Arabidopsis thaliana: one gene and its partners. The protein of the gene in region 1 binds, or shares a complex with, the protein of each later gene. Each region holds a gene or a part of one and is shown in the gene's direction. Other genes may lie near its edges. The genes, in order: WIP1, XI-I, RANGAP2 and WIT1.

The links.
Region 2: WIP1 (region 1) and XI-I share a complex: the UniProt entries of both Arabidopsis thaliana proteins name them as parts of the LINC complex.
Region 3: WIP1 (region 1) and RANGAP2 share a complex: the UniProt entries of both Arabidopsis thaliana proteins name them as parts of the ran complex.
Region 4: WIP1 (region 1) and WIT1 share a complex: the UniProt entries of both Arabidopsis thaliana proteins name them as parts of the ran complex.

What each region holds. Positions count from the first base shown.
Region 1 is NC_003075.7:13,363,730-13,368,640, forward strand, and holds WIP1 (WPP domain interacting protein 1), read left to right. Parts: upstream 1-1,553; 5' UTR 1,554-2,007; coding exon 2,008-2,890; intron 2,891-3,068; coding exon 3,069-3,655; 3' UTR 3,656-3,802; downstream 3,803-4,911. Other genes in the region: AT4G26450 (uncharacterized protein), read left to right, coding at 1-664, 745-898, 974-1,052, 1,136-1,191; LRE (lorelei), read right to left, coding at 3,916-4,280, 4,694-4,753, 4,828-4,900. UniProt on the Arabidopsis thaliana protein: Mediates and enhances the nuclear envelope docking of RANGAP proteins mediated by WIT1 and WIT2 in the undifferentiated cells of root tips.
Region 2 is NC_003075.7:16,011,783-16,017,215, reverse strand, and holds the start of XI-I (myosin), read left to right. Parts: upstream 1-2,246; 5' UTR 2,247-2,423; coding exon 2,424-2,567; intron 2,568-2,680; coding exon 2,681-2,827; intron 2,828-3,687; coding exon 3,688-3,833; intron 3,834-3,928; coding exon 3,929-4,085; intron 4,086-4,266; coding exon 4,267-4,325; intron 4,326-4,566; coding exon 4,567-4,723; intron 4,724-4,872; coding exon 4,873-5,022; intron 5,023-5,112; coding exon 5,113-5,249; intron 5,250-5,340; coding exon 5,341-5,433. Other genes in the region: SLOMO (F-box family protein), read left to right, coding at 1-75, 257-708, 805-868, 975-1,061, 1,159-1,245. UniProt on the Arabidopsis thaliana protein: Myosin heavy chain that is required for the cell cycle-regulated transport of various organelles and proteins for their segregation.
Region 3 is NC_003076.8:6,504,378-6,509,978, reverse strand, and holds RANGAP2 (RAN GTPase activating protein 2), read left to right. Parts: upstream 1-2,333; 5' UTR 2,334-2,451; intron 2,452-2,540; exon of another isoform or gene 2,541-2,547; 5' UTR 2,548-2,687; intron 2,688-3,004; 5' UTR 3,005-3,031; coding exon 3,032-4,669; 3' UTR 4,670-4,887; downstream 4,888-5,601. Other genes in the region: ARIA (ARM repeat protein interacting with ABF2), read left to right, coding at 98-157, 312-435, 560-699, 783-846, 928-1,007, 1,182-1,246, 1,366-1,483, 1,573-1,697 and 1 more; AT5G19315 (Defensin-like (DEFL) family protein), read right to left, coding at 5,079-5,260, 5,381-5,441. UniProt on the Arabidopsis thaliana protein: GTPase activator for the nuclear Ras-related regulatory protein Ran, converting it to the putatively inactive GDP-bound state.
Region 4 is NC_003076.8:3,631,730-3,637,654, forward strand, and holds WIT1 (WPP domain-interacting protein 1), read left to right. Parts: upstream 1-1,919; 5' UTR 1,920-2,048; intron 2,049-2,229; 5' UTR 2,230-2,241; coding exon 2,242-2,839; intron 2,840-2,940; coding exon 2,941-4,130; intron 4,131-4,230; coding exon 4,231-4,410; intron 4,411-4,545; coding exon 4,546-4,689; 3' UTR 4,690-4,884; coding exon of another isoform or gene 4,885-5,195; 3' UTR 5,196-5,205; downstream 5,206-5,925. Other genes in the region: DXPS3 (1-deoxy-D-xylulose 5-phosphate synthase 3), read left to right, coding at 1-215, 300-556, 646-924, 1,009-1,293, 1,372-1,521; AT5G11400 (Protein kinase superfamily protein), read right to left, coding at 4,885-5,195, 5,284-5,393, 5,547-5,613, 5,698-5,836. UniProt on the Arabidopsis thaliana protein: Together with WIT2, required for the nuclear envelope docking of RANGAP proteins in root tips.

The sequences.
Region 1 (4,911 bases):
AAGTTGAAGATTTTGCTCTTGTTCAATATATTGAGAACAGTAAATGTCATAGGTCTAATTCTTTTCCCAGTAGCATTCTCAGGGATAACAGTGAGAAAGAATCAGGATTAGAATTGCCTAATCTGCACAGATCACATTCGGTGGGGAAAGTAGGTGAGAAAAGGCCTGGTGAAGGCAGTGACTTGGAGGAGGGATCAAAAAGACAGAGAGATTGGGTGGCAGTTTCTGAAGCTAATGAACGCTTCAACATGTTTAAAACAAGCGGAAACCAATGCGATCCGGAAGAAGAAGGAAAGACAAGCTCGTTCAACAAAAGACTGATTGACGGTGCTGCTGGAAAAAGGGTCAGCCATGAAAGTCTGGTTAATAACTCTACATACAATAGGACACACACTGGCAGAACAGGTCCAGGGTATGCTGAAGAACATCAGCTGTTTCCTGCTTCGTTTAAGATGTGTGACCTAAATCTAGGGGGAGCGTCGGATGTGAATGATGGGATAAAGGAATCTCGTCAAGCTGTTGATTTTGATCTCTCAATCAGCAGTTCTAGTAAGTCTCTCGAGTTTGGTACGAGTACTCGGATGAGCAATGGTAAAGAGATAGAAGTGATTAATTTGGATGATGATCAAGAAGTGGTAAAGTCCAGCAATGATCCAGGAAGAAAGTACGGCCAAGTCCTACTCTTAACACTTATATATACACACACCTATTACATTTTGGCTAATGGGTTTTCATATCTAACAGGCAAGAAGCTGCTCCATATATGGGCATCGATGACGTCCCAGACTACAATGAAAGACTCATGATGGTAGAGTATCTTGATTCCTTTACTCCAATAAACCAGGGAACCAGTAGTGTCCCACAGAATAACAACACAGTTAGCCTTCAAGACCGAGAGGTACCTACTCTACTTGTCAAGTTTTATGTCACATAGAATGTTTGTTGTTGCTAACAGATCCTGAAAACGTCTCAGGGAGCTATTGGAAATGACCAAGTACCAAATAATACAGACGATGATTCGATCTTCATGTCACTCGGAGAAATACCATTGAGTAAGACCAATATCAAATTCTTTCTCTTTTCTATTTTAGCTTCTTAAAGAGCTGAGATTCATTATGTCTTTGCAATTGTGCAGCATTCTTGCAAGCTTGGGACCAACCTCCAGCTCGAGGCTACGAGAAGCCTTTCTGATTCTCTTTTTTTTTGTTATGTTTCTTCAGTCTGTGTAATGAGTGTGTAGTAGCCCAATTTCGTTTGTGCTAATCTCAATCCTCTCAGATGATGTAAGAATGTGACTTGTGGTGTTTTATGGTTGTATGTACCCTTTGTAATTCTCTGTTTATTCTCACACTGTCCCCATGTTTTAGGTCAGTTCAACAATTTTCTGAAATTGTAATAACCAAAATGATAATTATTAACGGTATATATATGTCGTGTCCAATCTCACGGTCAAAAATGAAGAAGGTGATGCTGAGAGGTCAGGCGATTCCGACACGTGTTATATTCCAACCACCCACACGTAATTTTCAAAAAGGAACAAAATTGATCATGAGGGAAAAAAGAATAAACTTTTTCCCACAAAGAAACTTTCCACATTGAACGAGAGAATTATAGATCTGCGAATCCGATCATTGGATTAGGGTTTTCACTTTTCACCCTCCTTTTTCCATCTCTCTGCTGTATACCCTTCCTTTCTCCAAAAAGACCAAAACTTTGCGATTCAATTCGAAATCTGTGTTCTTCCATTGAGCTGGATTTTCATTTTTGGAATCATTTCTTCTCTTCTTTGATCCGATAGATGGTGGCATGGTAGGAAATTTTAGACCTTTATATTTCTATTTAACCGTCAAGGAACCAATGAATTTGTATAGCTTGTTGAGTTGACTTTTTGATTGTGTATGATCGAATTTGGGATCCTCATTTCGGGTTTTGGGTTATTGATCTGAGCTCCTGTTACTTCTGAAACCGATGTGAATTTGGTGGGGGATAGATTTTTTTGTGGAGTCAATGGATTTGGAGAGTGAAAGCTCTGCACTTGAGTCTGTTGATGATAATGTTTTGATTCAACAAAGTGCCAGCAACGTTTGTGATGATGGTAGGAGTTTGGATAACGGGTCTTGCTCTGATGAGAGTGTGAAACTGCTTTCGACTTCTAATTCTGTTGAACTCGGTAAACCTATGAGTTTTGATTCACCAGGTGATGGTGGTGGTGCTTATTCTCCGGTTTTGAAAGGACAAGGCTTGAGAAAATGGAGGAGGATTAGGAGAGATCTTGTTAAGGACACGTCTGCGAATATGGAGAATAGTAAAGCTCTGAAGAGAGGGTTGTCAGGTGTTGCTCATTCACATGGTAAACAGATGCAGTTTCAGTCACCGGAAGTTGAACAAGAGAGTCAGGGATCTGTTGGGTCTGTTAATATGTTGAAAAGTAGCGGTGATGGTTTTGATATACTTGGGAGTAGTGGTTACGATTCTAGGTTTGTGGCAGGGGTTGGTTTTTCAGCTGGTATGGATTTAGAGATAGATGATGATCGGAGTAGTAAGTCTTCCACGGTTGCAAGAGCTCCCAAGGTTATTAGGTATGAGAAGCCAATGATTAGTTCAGGTCAGGGAGGAAACATTCGTGTAGAGAATAGTAAGAAACATAGAGGAGAAAGTGTCGATTTCGAGAAGGAAAACTCTTATTCCAGCTTGGAATCTGACTCAAGAAAGCAGAGTGGAAGAATGATGGACTACAATGGTGAAAATGGGGAAACGTCAATGAGAAAAGATGATGCGGGAGGAGAAGGCGGAGAGTCGATAAACACGGACAATCGTTACTCAGATGAAATGGATCCATTAACAGAGGCCATCAACGGTTTCTTGGCCTTGCAAGATGCTCTTGAAAAAGGTAGCCATTCTGATTATTTTTTTGCTGCGGATTGTATCTAAACTTGCATTATTTTTACTGCTGTTACATAACTATTTCTTGTTATGAGCCTGCATTATCATGTTGGAATCAACTAATAACATCACATGAACAATGATTATGATGTTTAATGTGACTCTTTATGAAATTTCATTTGCAGAGGTTCAGCAATTCCAGGAGATCGGGAATGAACCAATGCCACAGCATCATGAACAAGTCAGCGAAGCAAATTCACCTCACCCCGAGATTGTAACCCTGGTAAACAATGTTGAACAACTGGAGAACATGCTAGAAGAAACAAGGTCCATGCTTGAGGTGAAAGAATCACACATCCGTGACCTTGAATCCACCACGAACCAAAGCAAACACTCGTGGGGAGGAACAGAGATTGTGGTTGAAGACATCTTCCGGCAGAAGATTGAGGCCGAGATTGAATATCTGATATATTCAAGATCTATCGATAACTTAAACAGTCAGATGAAGTTAATTGATGAACAAGAGTCATTGGCAGAAGAGCAAACCCATGAGACGCTGAATAAGCTAGGAAGAGTACAAACGAAGGCTGCAAATTTTACAAACAGAGCTCAAGACCTGCAAAACGATTGCATAGAAATCACCGGGACCATCAAGAAGAGAGCATGTAAGATCACTTCATACGTTCTTATACAGTTAGTATTGCTGTCAACAGTAGTTTTGTTGCTCCTGTCTCAATTGTTGCCGGAGCCAGATACTGTTGTACCCACATGACTTTTGATTTTTGATGTAAACTGAGTTTTGTTTTGGCTTTTGGCTTTTCTTGTTAACAATTCGGCTATAAGTTTTGCCTCTGGTAATAAAATTAATCAAGTAAGTCTCGCTTCTTCTTTTGTTTATTTTGGAGGTCAAGTATTCTTTACACTTGGACACTTGGTCAGTAACAGAACAATTTGATAATTCTATCTAGTTTGTTAGCTAATATGGTATCAAAATGTAATCACTCTTTGGCTCTTTCAATTTCCTTTGATTGATCAAGTCAACACTAACAAAGCAAAAACAGCGGTTGCAGCAGAGATCAACAGCGAGATAAAACGAGGAGTCGAATCAGCAGTTGAGGCGTTTAGGTTATGTGAATAGAGAGGTGGTAAAGGGCAAACAAGCCCATCTTTCCTTTCTCTGCACTCGTTAGCGAAAAGGCCAGTAGGGTAGTTTCCATAAATATTCATGTAGCTGAACATTGTCTGTGCACAATCACTATTCATGTCGTTGATCTGACTCACGTAAGGACATGCAAATTCTTTAAAAGCAGAGCAACATTCTTTGGCTGGAAACGCTGGACCTTTGCACCTCTTTGTCAAGACCTTGTAGTCCATATACTCAAAGTTCACTTCACATTCTGTTTCCAACCAAACAAAAAACAAGAGTTAGTGTCACACCACTTATATATACTTATCTATACACAAACTTGATACACTGATCCAATAATACAAATATTATATAAGAACACTAATGATACAATTTGATTTTAAATTAAAACCAAAGATGAAAAAGTTCTGAAACATAACCGAAATCTATAAATTAAACATCTCTAGCTTATAGACAGGACCAAAATTCATGTAAGAGTACAAATGTTCCTAGTTCCGACGTTACGTCATAATCCTCACCATACCAAGCTATATATCAATATATCATACATATCATAAATATGTACATGAGTCTATATTCACACATTGACGTAAACATAAAATGAAAAGCAGAAGTAAATTAACAAATCGGATTAACAAATTAAAAGGATGAGGATGCTTTTACTTTTCTTGGCATGACGAAGGTTCCTTCCACTAACCGAGGTTTGTGATTCAAACACACCATCTACAGAAAGCGACGACCCATTAGAAACAAATTAAAGATGGAGGGTGGAGAAGGAAGACAACAAAAAGACATACCCGATATGGAACTTGAAGAGGAGAGAGATACCAACAGTGCCATCAGAAAGAAGAATAATAATATCAGCTCCATGAAATTGTTGT
Region 2 (5,433 bases), 2.6 Mb from region 1:
TTGACTGTTCTTGATTTATCGTACACTTTCTTGATGAATTTGGAACCCGTCTTCAAGTCCTGTATTCAACTTAAGGTAATTAAGGCATTAAGACTTGTATGATGCTGGATGTTTCCCTTTCCGTCAGCAGTAGAGCATATACATTATCTTGCCAATGAAAACTTCTTGAGTTATGTTGTTGTGTGCATTCTTTGTATATCAGCTATTCATGATTCATATTGCTTTTGGGCTTACTTTGAGACTTTTTATTGTTTAGGTACTCAAATTACAAGCCTGTAAGTATCTTACTGACTCATCATTGGAGCCTCTATACAAAGAAGGTGCTTTACCGGCACTTGAGGAGTTGGACCTGTCATATGGAACTCTCTGTCAGACTGCGATAGATGATCTACTTGCGTGCTGCACACACTTGACCCATTTGAGCTTGAACGGATGTGTAAACATGCATGACCTGGATTGGGGTTCAACCAGTGTACATCTTTTTGATTACTTTGGGGTCTACAGTTCTAGTGACAATACCCAGGAACCAGCTGAAACAGCCAATCGGTTACTGCAAAACCTAAACTGTGTGGGTTGCCCCAATATTAGAAAAGTGCTGATACCACCTGCAGCTCGCTTTTACCATTTATCAACACTGAACCTTTCGTTATCGGTCAATCTGAAGGAGGTTGATCTCACCTGTTCCAACCTGGTTTTACTTAATTTAAGGTTTGAGCTTTTGCATTTGCTAGATAACTTATATTCTTTATCTTCCATGAAATGAGTGGTCTTATTCTATTGCTAATTCCATTTCGAATTGTCTAGCAACTGTTGCTCTCTGGAAGTATTGAAGCTCGGCTGTCCAAGATTAGCTAGTCTCTTTCTTCAGGTATGTTTTTGCTCCGTAACTTTTACCACTAAACACACTTTGGTACCTTAAGCTTGGGTCTATATGTTACCACTAAACACACTTTGGTACCTTTTGTCTTTGGTAGTCTTGTAACATGGACGAAGCAGGAGTTGAAGCGGCTATATCAGGATGCAGCTCACTCGAGACATTGGATCTTCGTTTCTGTCCAAAGGTACTAACAATAAACGAGTGTTAACTTCGATATTGAAAACTTAGCAAGTAATCCATTTTTATGTAACAATTAAAACCTTGTCTTGGTGAATTAACAGATATCCTCGGTGAGCATGTCAAAGTTCCGAACAGTGTGCCCTAGTTTGAAACGCGTTTTCAGCAGTCCAAATCTCTTGCAAGATTAGGGTTTTGCGCCAAATGTTTGATTATATACAACTTTTTCTGCAGATTATAGAAATAATGTGTTGTGTGGTGTGGTGTTTGGGTTGTAAATGGCTCCAAGTCATAAGTTTCAGTAGTGCATATAGGCCTCTGGAGTTTGTACTGTGGCCTTCTTAGGATGCTTGTGTGATGACACAAACCTAAACAACATTAGTACTTTTTTTGTGTACGTGGTTGATGATATTGTTGCTACTGTTATATGTAGATCTTATATTTACCTTATCAATTTACCTTTTAAGCTTTGATCCACATTGACTCACATAACAAAGATAAAAATTAAATAAAACTTTTGGAATAAGTAGGGGGTAAGAAAAATTTAGTATATTTTTTGGAAACTAAAGTCTAAAATATGAATGAAGGAAGAAATCTGGAATGTAAATTTGGACTCATGCGTATTGGATGATAATAATTTGGACTTCTTCTTCCCCCAAACTCTTATTTGGACTCTCATCACCATATATGAAATTACAACAACAATAATCGACAACAAATTTTGGAATATTTTCTCTATAAAAGAGATCTAGTAATTATAATAAATATAAATAAACCTCACTAACTATCGTTTAAGAATGTTATATTCAAATATTGCCTTCTACATTTTTGACTTACTATTTTTAATTTGCTAAATTACTAAAAATAACAAGTTTTTAGCGTCAGTAAATTAACTACACAGTTTGTTTTACTAATGTGAAATCAATTTTGCGAGTAAGGATTAAACCCTATAAATGATTCGAATCAAAGATAATAAACTTGGCATTTACTCCGGAATGTGACGTAAATTTTTATCCCTAAAAACTTCTGTGTTTTTGTTTTGGATCTAGTCTTCTTTTGTTTTTTAATGCAAAATCCGAGAGGGCGGGAAGTAATTGTTGTTGTTGATGCTCTTTTTTTTTTTTGTTGCTTTTGGGAACTTTTTTGGGTAGCGGTTTAAGTAACTTTGAACCTTTAAAAAAAAAAAACTCCACAGTAGTAAAATTTCGCCCCTTCTCTCTCTATCTCCTTAGGGTTTCTCAATTCTTCTTCATTTTGAAATTTGAAAAATTCTCTGGCGCAACCTCACGGACTCTCTTTCTCTCTCTATGACTCTTGCTTCCCCCAATCTAATTCTCTAGGGTTTTCTCGTCGAGCTCTTCACGAGTTCATGAGAAATTGTCTTCCAATGGAATTGAATCTGCGCAAGGGCGACAAGGTTTGGGTCGAAGATAAGGATTTGGCTTGGATTGCTGCTGATGTCCTCGATTCTTTTGATAACAAACTCCATGTTGAAACTTCTACTGGGAAGAAGGTCTGATTAACCGTTATTTCTGCTGAATTAGCTCTGTTTCTTCTTCTTCCTCTTCTTCATGCTTTATTCATGCTAATTTTTGCTGTTGTGCGATTTTTTTTCTGGGGTTTTAGGTTTTTGTTTCCCCGGAAAAGCTATTTCGGAGGGATCCTGACGATGAAGAGCATAATGGAGTGGATGATATGACCAAACTGACATACTTGCACGAAGCTGGTGTTCTTTATAATCTACAGAGGAGATATGCTCTGAATGATATCTATGTGAGTTCTTTTCACTCTTTTTTTCTTTGGTATTGTTTATTGAGAGGTCTTTCTGAGTATATTTGGAGTTTGAATTTTTAGTTTCTATACTTCCGGGGGTACTTTATTGAGTCGGATTTCATTCCGTATGGAAGTTTACTCATTTTCGTAGTGGTATTAGTGTACTCACTGGCCGGAGTTTTCCTCTAGAACGAGTTACTGTTGCTTTTGGAGTTTCTTGTGTATTAATATGTGGTGTAAGACATGTTTCCATGTGAAGTGGATTCAGGTTCTTTATGATGGATGCATCTAGATGTGACCTGATATATTATTTAGCCGAAAAAGATAGATATCGAAGTGAAGAAATTTATTGTGACATAATGCATATATCATTACAGGCATTTACTTGCCTATTTGGTATCTAATCGCACTTCAAACATCTTGTGATCTAACCCTAACTATTGCTTTTTTCAATATTAACAATATTATTGGCGGGAGCGGGATAATCAACCTTGTGTATTCGTAACAACTTTTTGTTAGTTTGTTGGACTGCCCTGTGACTGTGAATTATTTGTAGGTTCAATATTCCTTCTAAAGTTATGGAGAGCTTCTGTTCCGTATTTAGTAGGTGAAAGTATCTATTTTTTAGACAGTTTTGTACTCAGCTGGCTTGCCCTTTTGTAAAACATTTGGTGGCAGCTTGGTGTCTAATTTATTTATGTCCCCATTGAGATGATAATATTTAGTTGGAAGTATTGGTGGTAATAATTCCTGTATCATTCTTTTTGCCACTCATAACTGTCAGCTTTTTACGCAGTTCCAATAGTAAATCATTCATGACTGCATTATCTTCTTACAAATACGTTCGACTTCTTTTTCAGACATACACTGGAAGCATTCTGATCGCTGTTAATCCATTCAAAAAGCTTCCACATCTCTACAATGGGCACATGATGGAACAGTACATGGGAGCACCATTCGGTGAGCTCAGTCCTCATGTTTTTGCAGTTTCTGATGTTGCATACAGGTGATCCACTCTTTTTTCTCTAATGTTTCTGATTTTTTAAAATCTTACTATCAGTCATGTTAATCTATTAACCATAGTTATTCTTTATAACCCAGAGCAATGATTGACGACAGTCGAAGTCAGTCAATACTTGTTAGCGGTGAAAGTGGAGCTGGAAAAACTGAGACAACCAAACTAATCATGCAGTATCTTACATTTGTTGGGGGACGTGCTACTGACGATGATAGAAGTGTTGAGCAGCAAGTCCTTGAAGTAAGATTTTGGTTATAAAATTTGTGTCTTCTATCTTGTTCAATGAGAAAAAAAGAACTGGATAGATGCCTTTGTTTTCCTCCCCTGGTATTTGTTTGCAGATAAATATTTAGGGGTGATCATGTTTGACTTTCTTTATTTGCGAGTTATCTATTCTAATTTAAGTATTCTTGTTCTGCAGTCAAATCCTCTCTTGGAAGCATTTGGCAATGCAAAAACAGTTAGAAATGATAATTCCAGGTGGGTTATTGATTTTTTTTTTTCTTTCTGTTTATTTTTTCAATGAAAATTGAGAGGTGTATCTTTAATTGCTCTTATGTCATTTGTCAACAAATTTTTCATGATAGTATCCTTAATACCCAGTGATAACAGCACTTTATGATGTTGATATGGTTTTAGTAAACCTTTTGGTTGAAATTTTGTGTGCCTAGCTTTTAGACGAATCTACTGACCAATCTACTGATCTTCTTTTGCTGTTCAGCCGTTTTGGAAAGTTTGTCGAAATCCAGTTTGACACAAATGGTAGAATATCTGGTGCCGCAATCAGAACCTATCTTCTGGAGAGATCACGTGTTGTCCGGATAACAGACCCCGAGAGGAATTATCATTGTTTTTATCAATTGTGCGCTTCGGGGAATGTAATTCTTTTTACAGCTCTATATACATGTCATAAGAGATTGGTTTTGGTTTTCTTATTATCTGATTGAGCTACGCCAGGTTTTTCTCGCTGAGTTTGTCAATTTACCTACGCTAATTACTAATCTGTAAATGTTCTTATTTTGCTTAGGACGCTGAGAAATATAAACTAAGCAACCCTCGTCAATTTCATTATCTAAATCAAAGCAAGACCTATGAATTAGAAGGAGTCAGCAGCGCAGAAGAGTATAAGAATACAAGGAGGGCAATGGATATTGTGGGCATAAGTCAGGATGAGCAGGTATAACGACTTCTAATTGAATTTTCATATGTTTTTCTTCTGCCAGCTTCTGAAATTCCTTGCTTGTTTCCTGCACAAATCATTTATCAGGAAGGGATATTTCGCACACTTGCTGCGATTCTACATCTTGGAAATGTTGAGTTTTCCTCAGGGAGAGAGCACGACTCTTCAGTGGTAAAGGATCCGGAATCTAGACATCATCTGCAGATGGCTGCTGATCTTTTCAAGTACATAAAATTTTCTGATAGTACTCATTTTTAATTATGCATACGAAGAAATAGCTTGTTTATTTTGTTGTATCCATGCAAAATTAATCAGGTGTGATGCAAATCTTTTGCTGGCTTCGCTCTGCACACGTTCAATTCTGACCCGTGAAGGTATCATTATCAAAGCACTTGACCCTAATGCTGC
Region 3 (5,601 bases), on another chromosome or scaffold:
CTCCTTTATTGGCTAGATACTGAAGTTTCTTAGCAGCTTTAATCGTATTTTTTTACTCTTCCCCTTAAGGTGTTTATAATATATCATGATTTTTTAGGCAACTAAAGATTGTGTTTCCAAAACACTAAAGAGATTGGAGGAGAAGATTCATGGAAGAGTAAGTGAAACTATACTTTTCTTTAATTCTTTTTTTTTTTCCATCTTTGATGACTAAAACTGCTTTATCCTGGTTGAGTTTCTGAAGCTCTGTTGAAGTTTAGCATTTCTTTATTCAACCTTTGAGATTTCTGTGCTTTGATTTTCTTTTGTAGGTTCTGAGACATCTGTTGTACCTAATGCGCATTTCAGAGAAGTCTATCCAAAGACGAGTTGCTCTTGCCCTTGCTCATCTCTGTTCACCCGAGGATCAACGAACCATATTCATAGATGACAACGGCATGTGACAGTTTTTTTATATTTTCATGAGCTAAATGAGATGCATGCGTTATGTTTAATGCGTTAACCGTCCAGTTTAGATGTTCTTTGTCCAAAAAGTTAATATTGAGTTGTCTTTTGACAGGGTTGGAGTTGCTACTCGGTCTTCTTGGTTCTTTAAACACTAAGCAGCAACTTGACGGTGCAGCAGCGTTGTACAAATTAGCAAATAAATCTATGGCACTTTCTCCAGTTGATGCTGCTCCTCCTTCTCCAACACAAAGGGTGAGTTTCCTTTCTGCTTCAGTTCTCCTATAGGTAACGGGTGGAAGTCTCAATGCAGTATTCTGTATGTCTTTTTGTGACAGGTTTATCTCGGAGAGCAATATGTAAATAATGCTACGCTGTCTGATGTAACCTTTCTAGTCGAAGGTAATCATATATAAATCCAGAAGTTGTGGAACTCTAGTTAGCTTCAAAGTCCATATGTAAAACAGAAAAATCATACTGCAGGAAGGACATTCTATGCACACAGAATTTGTCTGCTGGCATCCTCAGATGCATTTCGTGCAATGTTTGATGGTGGTTACAGAGTAAGTGAACTAAATATTTTGGTTTTTCGATAATGTTCTTGTGGGGTAAATGATATTTTGATGACAATGACGTATGGATGTATGCTGGTCTGCTATTTATCAAAGGAATACAATTATCTTTTGGGGAAATTAGACCTGAATTGTGTCACGGTTTGTGTTTCGTTTATATCACAGGAAAAAGACGCTAGAGATATTGAGATTCCAAATATCAAATGGGAGGTGTTTGAGTTAATGATGAGGTATGATGAATGAACCTCTGCATGCTTTTGATTGACTCACTCGAGATATTGAAATTTCGAAAAGTCTGTGAGAACTTTTCATATACACGTAATTGACTCCCTTGGATTATGATTTTCAGGTTTATATACACTGGATCTGTCGACATAACAAATGAGATATCAAAAGATCTTCTAAGAGCAGCGGATCAGTATCTCTTGGAGGGCCTGAAACGACTCTGTGAATACACAATTGCTCAGGTGAGCCAGAATTATATCACAATGTAAAGTGATGATGTGGTTTGCGTAGTACTTAACGAAATCTGACACGGTTACTTTGAATATGAAAGGATATTACGTTGGAAAGTATAGGAGACATGTACGAGCTATCAGAAGCATTCCATGCGATGTCGCTGAGGCAAGCTTGTATCATGTTCATCCTGGAGCATTTCGATAAACTGAGTTCAATGCCTTGGTAATATAAACAAGATGTCACTCTCTCTCTCCACTAAGATTTGTTTTATTGCTATTAGTCTGAAACAAAAGTGAATGGAAAATGCAGGCAGAACGAGCTGGTGCAGAGAACAATACCAGAGATAAGAGAGTACTTTTGTAGAGCCCTAACAAAGTCTACTACAAACCTGCAAAGCTTGAGGTTGTAGAATGCGGAAGAAGAAGACTGCACTTAACTAGAGGTAAGTAGACAAGGAATTATATAGAGAGAAAGAGAGAGAGAGATCAAGAGCCGCCATTAGAGGTCTTTATCGTCCTGTACTGGGTTGTCTTAGTTATTTGCTGTGCTTTTTGGTTCGTTTTGGTCATTTTGTATTGTATTAATTAATCTCCTCTGATCACAATCGGTCTTGAATGAAATCGCTACCCTTTGTATCCAAAAATACCATTGTGGTATAACTTCCACTATTCAATTCAAAATCCACTCTCCAACTATCCTCTCTGTTGAGAAAAGATACTTTGGGTAGGTTGTGACTAAGCGTAGCTGTAACGATTTGATATTGGTAGTGGTGACCAGTGAGTTCATGTCTGAATAATTAAGAGATGATTCAACACAGAACATAATATCCCATTTTTGTTTTACAAATAAAGAATCAATCGAAAGTATTACTGATGATTAGAGACTGTAACTTGTAAGTATTTTGTAGCACAAGCCACTGAAAATTACATTACACATAAAGGAGTTTTCTTTAACATGAAAGATTCAAAATTACCAGGTTGGTTCTAATTAATTACGTTTTCTTCCAAAGTGATTAATTACTCAAGTCACGATGAATTATTAACCTTTCTCTTTTTTTTTTTTTTTAAATTAGTCTATAGAGACTTTTGGTTCAACGAACGTAGGAGGGAGTTTTAAAGAGCTCCGGTGAAGGAGAAACCCTAAAAACACACTCGATTTTGCAGCCAGAGAGAGTCTCAGAGCTCCGAGATTCAGACAATCTTCATCGGTCCGGTACGCTTTTCATTTCCGTTTATTCTCATCGCAAACGGATAATTATTTGTCTGATCCGATTTTACCCTGTGATTAAGCACCGATGTTCCTTCCTCGTAGTTGGTGATTTAATGCTTCTTCTCGAAACTATCCACTTATAGGATCTCCGATCTTTACGAGATTACTCTCCTTAATCTCTGTTATTGATTTAGTCACAGCATTTTCTGATTTATCAATTAGTTATTCCTTTGGGCTCAATGTTAATCCTCCTAAGTGATTAGTGATTACGATAGAGCCTCCTCTGATTATTTCTAACTTTTGTGTGTATGTTTTTGCAGTGATATTAAAACTCTGGATTTGCGATAATGGCTGATATACTTGATTCTCGACCTCATGCATTTTCGATTAAACTCTGGCCACCGAGTTTACCTACAAGAAAAGCTCTCATTGAGCGTATAACCAACAATTTTTCTTCCAAGACTATTTTCACTGAGAAGTACGGTAGCTTAACCAAAGACCAGGCTACGGAGAACGCTAAGAGGATCGAAGATATTGCTTTTTCCACTGCTAACCAACAGTTTGAGAGGGAGCCTGATGGTGATGGTGGTTCAGCTGTACAGCTTTATGCCAAAGAATGCAGTAAGCTTATCTTAGAAGTTCTCAAGAAAGGACCTGTTGCTAAAGTTGCGGCAAGAGAATTGATTTCTGAGGATTCTGTGTCTCCCCGCGAAACTTTTTTCGATATTTCTAAAGGTAAACGGGCTTTCATTGAGGCTGAGGAAGCTGAGGAGCTTCTCAAACCTTTGAAGGAACCTGGCAATGCCTACACTAAGATATGCTTTAGTAATAGGAGTTTTGGCTTGGGAGCTGCTCGTGTCGCTGAGCCTATCTTGGCGTCTTTGAAAGATCAGCTTAAGGAAGTTGACTTGTCTGACTTTGTTGCTGGACGACCTGAGCTTGAAGCTCTTGAGGTTATGAATATATTTTCTGACGCACTGCAAGGTAGTATTCTCTCGTCTCTCAACTTATCAGATAATGCATTGGGTGAGAAGGGTGTTAGAGCGTTTGGGGCACTCTTAAAATCTCTGAGCTCTTTGGAAGAGCTGTATTTGATGAATGATGGTATCTCTAAGGAAGCTGCGCAAGCGGTCTCCGAGTTGATTCCTTCAACAGAGAATTTGAGGGTCCTTCATTTTCATAATAACATGACGGGAGATGAAGGGGCACTCGCTATTGCAGAGGTTGTCAAGCGTTCCCCACTGCTGGAGAATTTCCGTTGTTCTTCCACAAGAGTCGGCTCAAAAGGGGGAATCGCCTTGTCAGAAGCACTTGAGCATTGTACTCATATGGAGAAACTTGATCTGCGGGATAATATGTTTGGCACAGAAGCCGGAGTTTCTTTGAGCAAAACTCTTTCAAGCTTCAAACACATGACTGAGCTTTACTTGAGTTATCTAAATCTAGAGGATGAAGGTGCCATAGCCATAGTAAACGCTCTAAAGGAGTCTGCTTCGCCCATTGAAGTTCTAGAGATGGCAGGAAATGACATAACAGTTGAAGCTGCTTCAGCTATCGCAGCCTGTGTTGCAGCAAAACAAGATCTGAACAAGTTGAATTTGTCTGAGAATGAGCTGAAAGATGAGGGATGTGTCCAGATTGCAAATTGTATAGAAGAGGGTCACTCAAAACTGCAATACATCGATATGAGCACCAACTACATAAGAAGAGCCGGAGCACGAGCCTTGGCTCATGTTGTTGTGAAGAAAGAAGCTTTCAAGCTGTTGAACATTGACGGGAACATCATATCAGAAGAAGGCATTGAAGAATTGAAAGAGATATTCAAGAAATCCCCAGAGTTACTTGGAGCTTTGGATGAGAATGATCCTGATGGAGAAGAAGATGATGATGATGAGGAAGACGAAGAAGATGAAGAGAACGAAGGTAATGGGAATGGTGAGCTGGAATCGAAGCTGAAGAACCTTGAAGTTAATCAGGAAGATTAAGTCTGTGATGTTGGTACTTTTCAATGTTTTTGTTTGTTTTGTACCAGTATTATTACTCTAGCTGCTGCTACAAAGACCAAAACATATTTGAGACATTGGTGTTAGTTTTATTTTTGCCGATAGCTTATTGGTCCTTTTTGTTTAAACACGATTGTATCGCTATTCTGAGGTCATACCTATGAGCAAAACAATTTTATATTCTATTTGGTTTGGTACCGTTTTGGTTTAGATACGATTTTAAACAAATTTTGTTAACTTGAAAAGTTTAAACTAACGTGAAAGAAGTTTTCAGGAGTGACCATTTCACATACTAAAGATATAATCAACAGTGAAGACAAGATTTTGAGTTTAATACTAGTTAGAATAAGCAATCGAGGATTGCAAACGCAAGCATAAAAACATATTTTTTTTAACAGTAACAATGGCATTTTTTTGCTCCACCAGCAAAACGTTTGCAAAAACCGCCTTTCTTATTATCACATCCATCAAGACACCATTTGTTGCATCTCTTTCTGTCTTGGTATGTGTTGCAAGCTCCAAATTTCGCATGTGTGTTACAGCACAACGAACTTCCGGATCCTTCAACGACATCTATAACATGCAAACAACAATTTTTCATCTTTAAGATTCACGTAAAGATCAAACAAAAACTTTTTATATAATACATCTTTGTATCCCCAAAAATATCAAAATTTATGGTGAGAGACTAACCAATAGAGAACAAAAGAACAAGTAGCATAGCAAAAGACATTATTTTCATGGTGGTGGTCATCTTCTTGATCCTCTTCTCCTCCCTATGAGCATAATTCTTTTTGGTGGAGTACTCTTTCATCTATTTATCCTATTTTGCCAACGTATTATAAATTTAGATACCTAATGCTATTTCCCGATTTAATGGATCAAATTTCCTTTTGTTTCACCGGTAATTATAG
Region 4 (5,925 bases), on another chromosome or scaffold:
TGAGTATGCTCGCGGTATGGTTGGACCAACAGGATCAACTCTCTTTGAAGAACTTGGTTTGTACTACATTGGTCCTGTTGATGGACACAACATTGAAGATCTAGTTTGTGTTCTCCGAGAAGTATCTTCTCTAGATTCAATGGGTCCTGTGTTGGTCCACGTGATCACAGAGGGAAACCGAGATGCAGAAACCGTAAAGAACATCATGGTCAAAGGTATATCTGTCTGGTTATGTTATTTTTTCTGAGAATATATGCTTATCCAAAATCTTGACTTTGTAGTTTTTTTTTTTGTCTCAGACAGACGCACTTACAGTGATTGCTTTGTTGAGGCTTTGGTGATGGAGGCAGAAAAGGATAGAGATATTGTTGTAGTTCATGCAGGAATGGAGATGGATCCGTCACTTCTTACATTTCAGGAGAGATTTCCAGACAGATTTTTCAATGTCGGAATGGCTGAACAGCATGCTGTCACATTCTCTGCTGGTCTTTCTTCTGGAGGTCTCAAGCCATTTTGTATTATTCCCTCTGCTTTTTTACAAAGAGCTTATGACCAGGTTTCACTTTCCTCTAGCACAAAATAAAATTGTTCTAAAAGGTTTTTATTACAAGCAAATGGCCTTAGTGTCTTTGATGGTTTCTTTAGGTGGTCCATGATGTAGATCGGCAGAGAAAGGCGGTGCGATTTGTTATTACAAGCGCAGGGCTTGTTGGATCCGATGGTCCAGTGCAGTGTGGAGCTTTTGACATAGCTTTCATGTCATCCTTACCAAACATGATAGCCATGGCTCCAGCCGATGAGGATGAGCTTGTAAATATGGTTGCAACTGCTGCTTATGTCACTGACCGCCCAGTATGTTTCCGGTTCCCTAGAGGCTCCATCGTCAACATGAATTATCTTGTCCCCACTGGATTACCAATTGAAGTAAGTTCCAATCTAATCTTCAAATCTTTTGGTTGCAAAAACAGACCGTGGTGACACAAGAACTGCTTTATCATATTAGAGTAGATCGGAAGAGGAAGAGTTCTCGTAGAAGGTCAAGATGTGGCTTTACTTGGTTATGGAGCGATGGTTCAGAATTGTCTTCATGCTCACTCGCTTCTCTCGAAACTCGGTTTGAACGTGACTGTAGCTGATGCAAGATTTTGCAAACCCCTAGACATCAAGCTTGTGCGTGATCTTTGTCAGAACCACAAATTCCTTATCACTGTCGAAGAAGGCTGTGTTGGAGGGTTTGGTTCTCATGTGGCGCAGTTCATAGCCCTCGATGGCCAGCTCGATGGGAATATCAAGGTAGAGAGACAAATCAAAACCTCATGTTCTCACCTGTTTTTGGTTTTAAGTTGTAATTTTGCTCTTAACATTGTGTAGTGGAGACCCATTGTGTTACCGGATGGCTACATAGAAGAAGCATCGCCTAGGGAGCAGCTTGCTCTTGCAGGGCTAACTGGACATCACATAGCAGCAACCGCTTTGAGTCTTTTGGGCCGAACTCGTGAAGCATTGCTTCTCATGAGCTAGCTTAACCTTCTCATATGGGATTTACCTTCACAAGAGACTTAAAGAGGAGTTTCTTAAACAGAATTTGTAGATAATACATTCTGAATTCAAGAGCCCATTTGATATCCTGATTTTGGAATAGCAATCTGCTATGTATTGTAAATGTAGAGTTGAGAATTGACTAAAATAAATTCAATTACTTTTTAGGCGGTATCTCAGTTTTCATATTCTCAGTTAGTTGTTGTTGTTGTTGTTGTTGTTGTTGTTGTTGTTGTTGTTGTTGTCAAGTCTATTTGGTGTAACAGTCGCATGTCCCAAATCTGGAAACAAACAAAATATAGAACAGAGACGTGTATTTTCGATACTCGAGTTTTTTTTTAATAAAAGCATCTTAAAAAATTAGTAAAGAGTTACTGTCAAACAATATTCGTTTAATTACAAATCCGAGTCCTTCTTCTTCTTCTTCTTCTCGATCTCTGTATCTCTCGATCATTTCCTTCTAAAGGAAGCGTCTTTGATCTTAATCGTCGTGTCGTTCGTTTCTAACTGTAAGTTTTCTCCTTTTCATTCATTTTGCTTCAATCTCGATCGGAATCAAGTAAAAAATCGGAACTTTTACCTAGATTTCCTCAGGAATCGAAAAGTTCTTGTGATTTAGCAGAACCTCTATTGTTTCCGATCTCTTAATTCAATTACTTGACAAAAGTGATTATACTTTCTCTGTTGCAGTTATATTGAAAGATGGAAACAGAAACGGAACATGATAGAACTGTCTCTGTCGATGACAACGACAGCCTTGTACCTGAGCCAAGCTCAACGAAAGAAAGCTTTTTTGAAGATCTCTCGCTTACTGGGCAAGTTATGAATCCTCAACTTTCAAGTGCAGGCGAAGTTTTGACAAAAGTTGAATTGGATTTTGCTTTTGTCTCTGAGAAATTGGTCAATCTTAGTCTTCTTACTATGCAACTCGGCACGAGGGAAAATGATTTTGAGTCTTTTGTTTCTAAGAAAGAAGAAGATGAAGAAGAGCCTTCGAGTAATGTTGATGATGATGATGATTCTGCTGAGAAGGCATTGGAGTTTGATCTCTTGTCTTCAATTCTCAATTCAGAGGTGAAAGAACTTGAATCGCTTCTTGGTTTTCTCCAGAACGAGATTCAAAGCGCCCGTGTCATGATATCTCCGTTTCAACATGATGGAGAAGCTTTCTTGGATTTGGAAGGGAAGTTGAATGATACTGAACAATCTTTGGGTCAGTTAATGGAACAAGTAGTGGAAATGAAGAAGCAATCTTCTAACTTTCAGAGGTTATCTTCTGGTTTGGATGAACAAGGAAGCTGTAAGTGACCAATCTAGCTTTCTTTTTAACCTTGTTGTGATGATCACTTGGTGAGAAAAATTTCAGGCTTTAATGAATACTATATAACTTTGTTTTTGCAGGGTCTGGAGGGCAAACTTCAGTGTCTCAAAACGATGGTGAGTTTGGTGATCTGAGCGCTAAGATCAATATGCAGACTGCTGATCAGCAAAGGAATGTTTTAAGGATGCTTGAGAAATCTTTGGCTAAGGAGATGGAACTTGAGAAGAAACTAAGTGAATCAAGAAATACTGAACGAGAACTAGAGATGAAACTGTATTCTTCTGAGCAGGATGTTGTCTACATGGAAGAAGTAACCGAAGATGCGTTCTCCAGGTGGCTTGAGGCAGATAATGCTGCTGAAGTCTTTAAGGGAACGTCAAAGGAGATGTCTGGAAAACTCCAGATTCTTCAGTTCAATCTAAGTGGCTCTTTTAAGCGGGAAGACAACTTGAAGTCTAAGCTTGTTGATTCAAAGGAACGTTTAGAAGCTAAGGAATGCGCCTTGCACAAGCTTGATAGCAGCAATGCAAGACTTGCTGACTTTCTTGTGGCACAAACAGAAGGCTTAAAAGAGAGTTTGCAAGAGGCTGAAGAAAAATTGATTTTGTTGAACACTGAGAATTCCACATTAAGTGAGAAAGTTAGCTCCCTTGAAGAACAACTGAATGAATATGGGATTCAAACAGAAGATGCGGATGCTACTTCTGGTGCTCTGATAACAGATCTTGAACGTATCAACGAGGAACTGAAAGATAAATTAGCCAAAACTGAAGCAAGGGCTGAGGAAACAGAATCCAAGTGCAAAATCCTAGAAGAAAGCAAAAAGGAGCTTCAAGACGAGTTGGGGAATTTCAGAGACAAGGGCTTCACTATACATAAGTTAGCATCGCTTGAGAAACACTTGAGGGACTCAGATCTACAACTAGAACATGCAGTTGCAGCTGTTGAAGCAAGTAAAGAAAAGCAGAACTTGTTATATTCTACTGTTTCTGATATGGAGGATGTGATCGAGGATCTAAAATCAAAAGTTTTGAAGGCTGAAAACAGGGCCGACATTACCGAAGAGAAGTTGATCATGGTATCTGAGTCTAACGCAGAGGTCAACGAAGAACTGAAATTCTTTAAGGGTAGATTGAAAGAAGGGGAGAAATATTTACAGCAAGCAGAAGAAAGAAAATTGCGAACCGCCAAAGATATCGGGGTACATAACAAGATCATGAAAAAACTGGTCATGCAACTAGCTGCTGAACGAGAACGACTTCATAAACAGGTATTACCATATTCGTAAAACCCCAGTTCGCTGTTAGTTCATGTCCTTGTAGCTTCATCATCATCACAGTGGATTCTTAGATATAGTGACTTATTTGCAGATAACTAACCTGTCAAGAGAGAATTGTGTGTTGATGGTGAAGTTGAAAAAGGTTGGAAAAACTGGTTATATGGAAAGTGGCAATGGAAGTGAAGTTTCACCAAAGTCGGACCAGAATGCTTCTTCTTGCCATCAAGGAAGTAGACTTCAAGCCACCTTCATTTCATTAACTAATCCAGAGGTAACATAATTCTACCTTACAAAAAATCTGATCTTTTGCTGGCATCTAAGTGAGTTATACCATTAAGCTTTAGTCCAACAATCGAATATTATGAATCTAAGCTTGACGTTAGTAACCGTGGTCACCTTTTTGTAGGAGGAAGAAACAGGTTCAAAATCAGATATTGGAAGTGTAAGGAGATTAGATGTTGGAGCTCTTAGGTTCAAACACATTCTCGTTGCAATACTCGTGATCTTAATATCGTCGATAGCTTATGTTATATCCCAGCAAAACATGTAAGAGTCTTTAACTTTTTCCAAAATCTCAGTCTCCAGTTTTGTACTCTCTTTGTCATAGTTTACAATGACAGATTATATTTTAGTTCTTTTTGGCTACCCAGTTACAGAAAATCTGCTATATAATTAACCCCGACACTGGTATTTTGTGTTATTACAATATCTTTTTCAGTGTCAAGTATTAGTACCTCTCTACACATTAGTCCTTAATCTCTGCAATATGATTAAGACCATCCAATACTTGTTGCATCAATGGCCGTTTCTTTGTATTATGCGCTGTGCATCGGTTGATGAGTGTGCCCATCTGTGTCGCCGCATTCGCAGAATAATCGCTCCCAAGTCGGGGATCGATTATTTCCTCAATCTTATAATTATCTGGCAAGAAAGATGAGGTCCAGTAATCTACTAAGCCTTGCTCTTCCTTAATCTTTTTTCTATCCTTGGAACCCATTAAAAGTTCAAGCAAGATCATACCAAAAATGTAAACATCGGTCGTCATATCCAAAATACCTAACACATACATTACACAATTGTCTTAACGTTGAACAACGAAAGATTTTTCAGAATTTGTAAAACGAAAGTTAATGCTTTCGTGTACCTAACGATCCCCATTCAGGAGATAGGTATGTAAATCTTCCCCTCTTGAGACCTTCATCTACCAAGCTTCGTTTGGTTGGTTCGAGATAGAACAGTTTTTGCATTGTATTGCTGATGAAATCCAAACTTAGATATTAATTTCTAAGATCATAAACAAAAAGAGAGAAGAAGGATGGAAATAAAACAATTACCACCTCGTCAAGCATAATGTTATGCATCCTGAGTTCTCGGTTTAGGGGGCTGTTCTTGATCGAGTGAAGAAACGCGAGACCTTGAGCTGTTCCAATGGCTATCTTAACCCGTATTTCCCATGGCAATGCCTCTTCTTCTTCTGTTGAGGGAAACGTAAAACTATAGGTAATGCAATAGTTGTCTATATCTTAGAATGGACCCATTAGCTAGAAAAGATCTTAACTTCCGAAAATGTGACTGTCCAAACTTCCTTTGTGCGAGTATTCAAATACCAAGAAGAATGGTTTGTTGTCTTCACAACAGTAACCCAAGAAATTGACCAAATTCTGATGAGACAACTGTCCAAGAGACCTCACTACTGCCTGCAACTCATAGTTTTTGTACCCATCAGATAAGTACACAAGACTAACAAGGAATAAGAGATAGGTATCAATATTGCGTAAAAATGAAC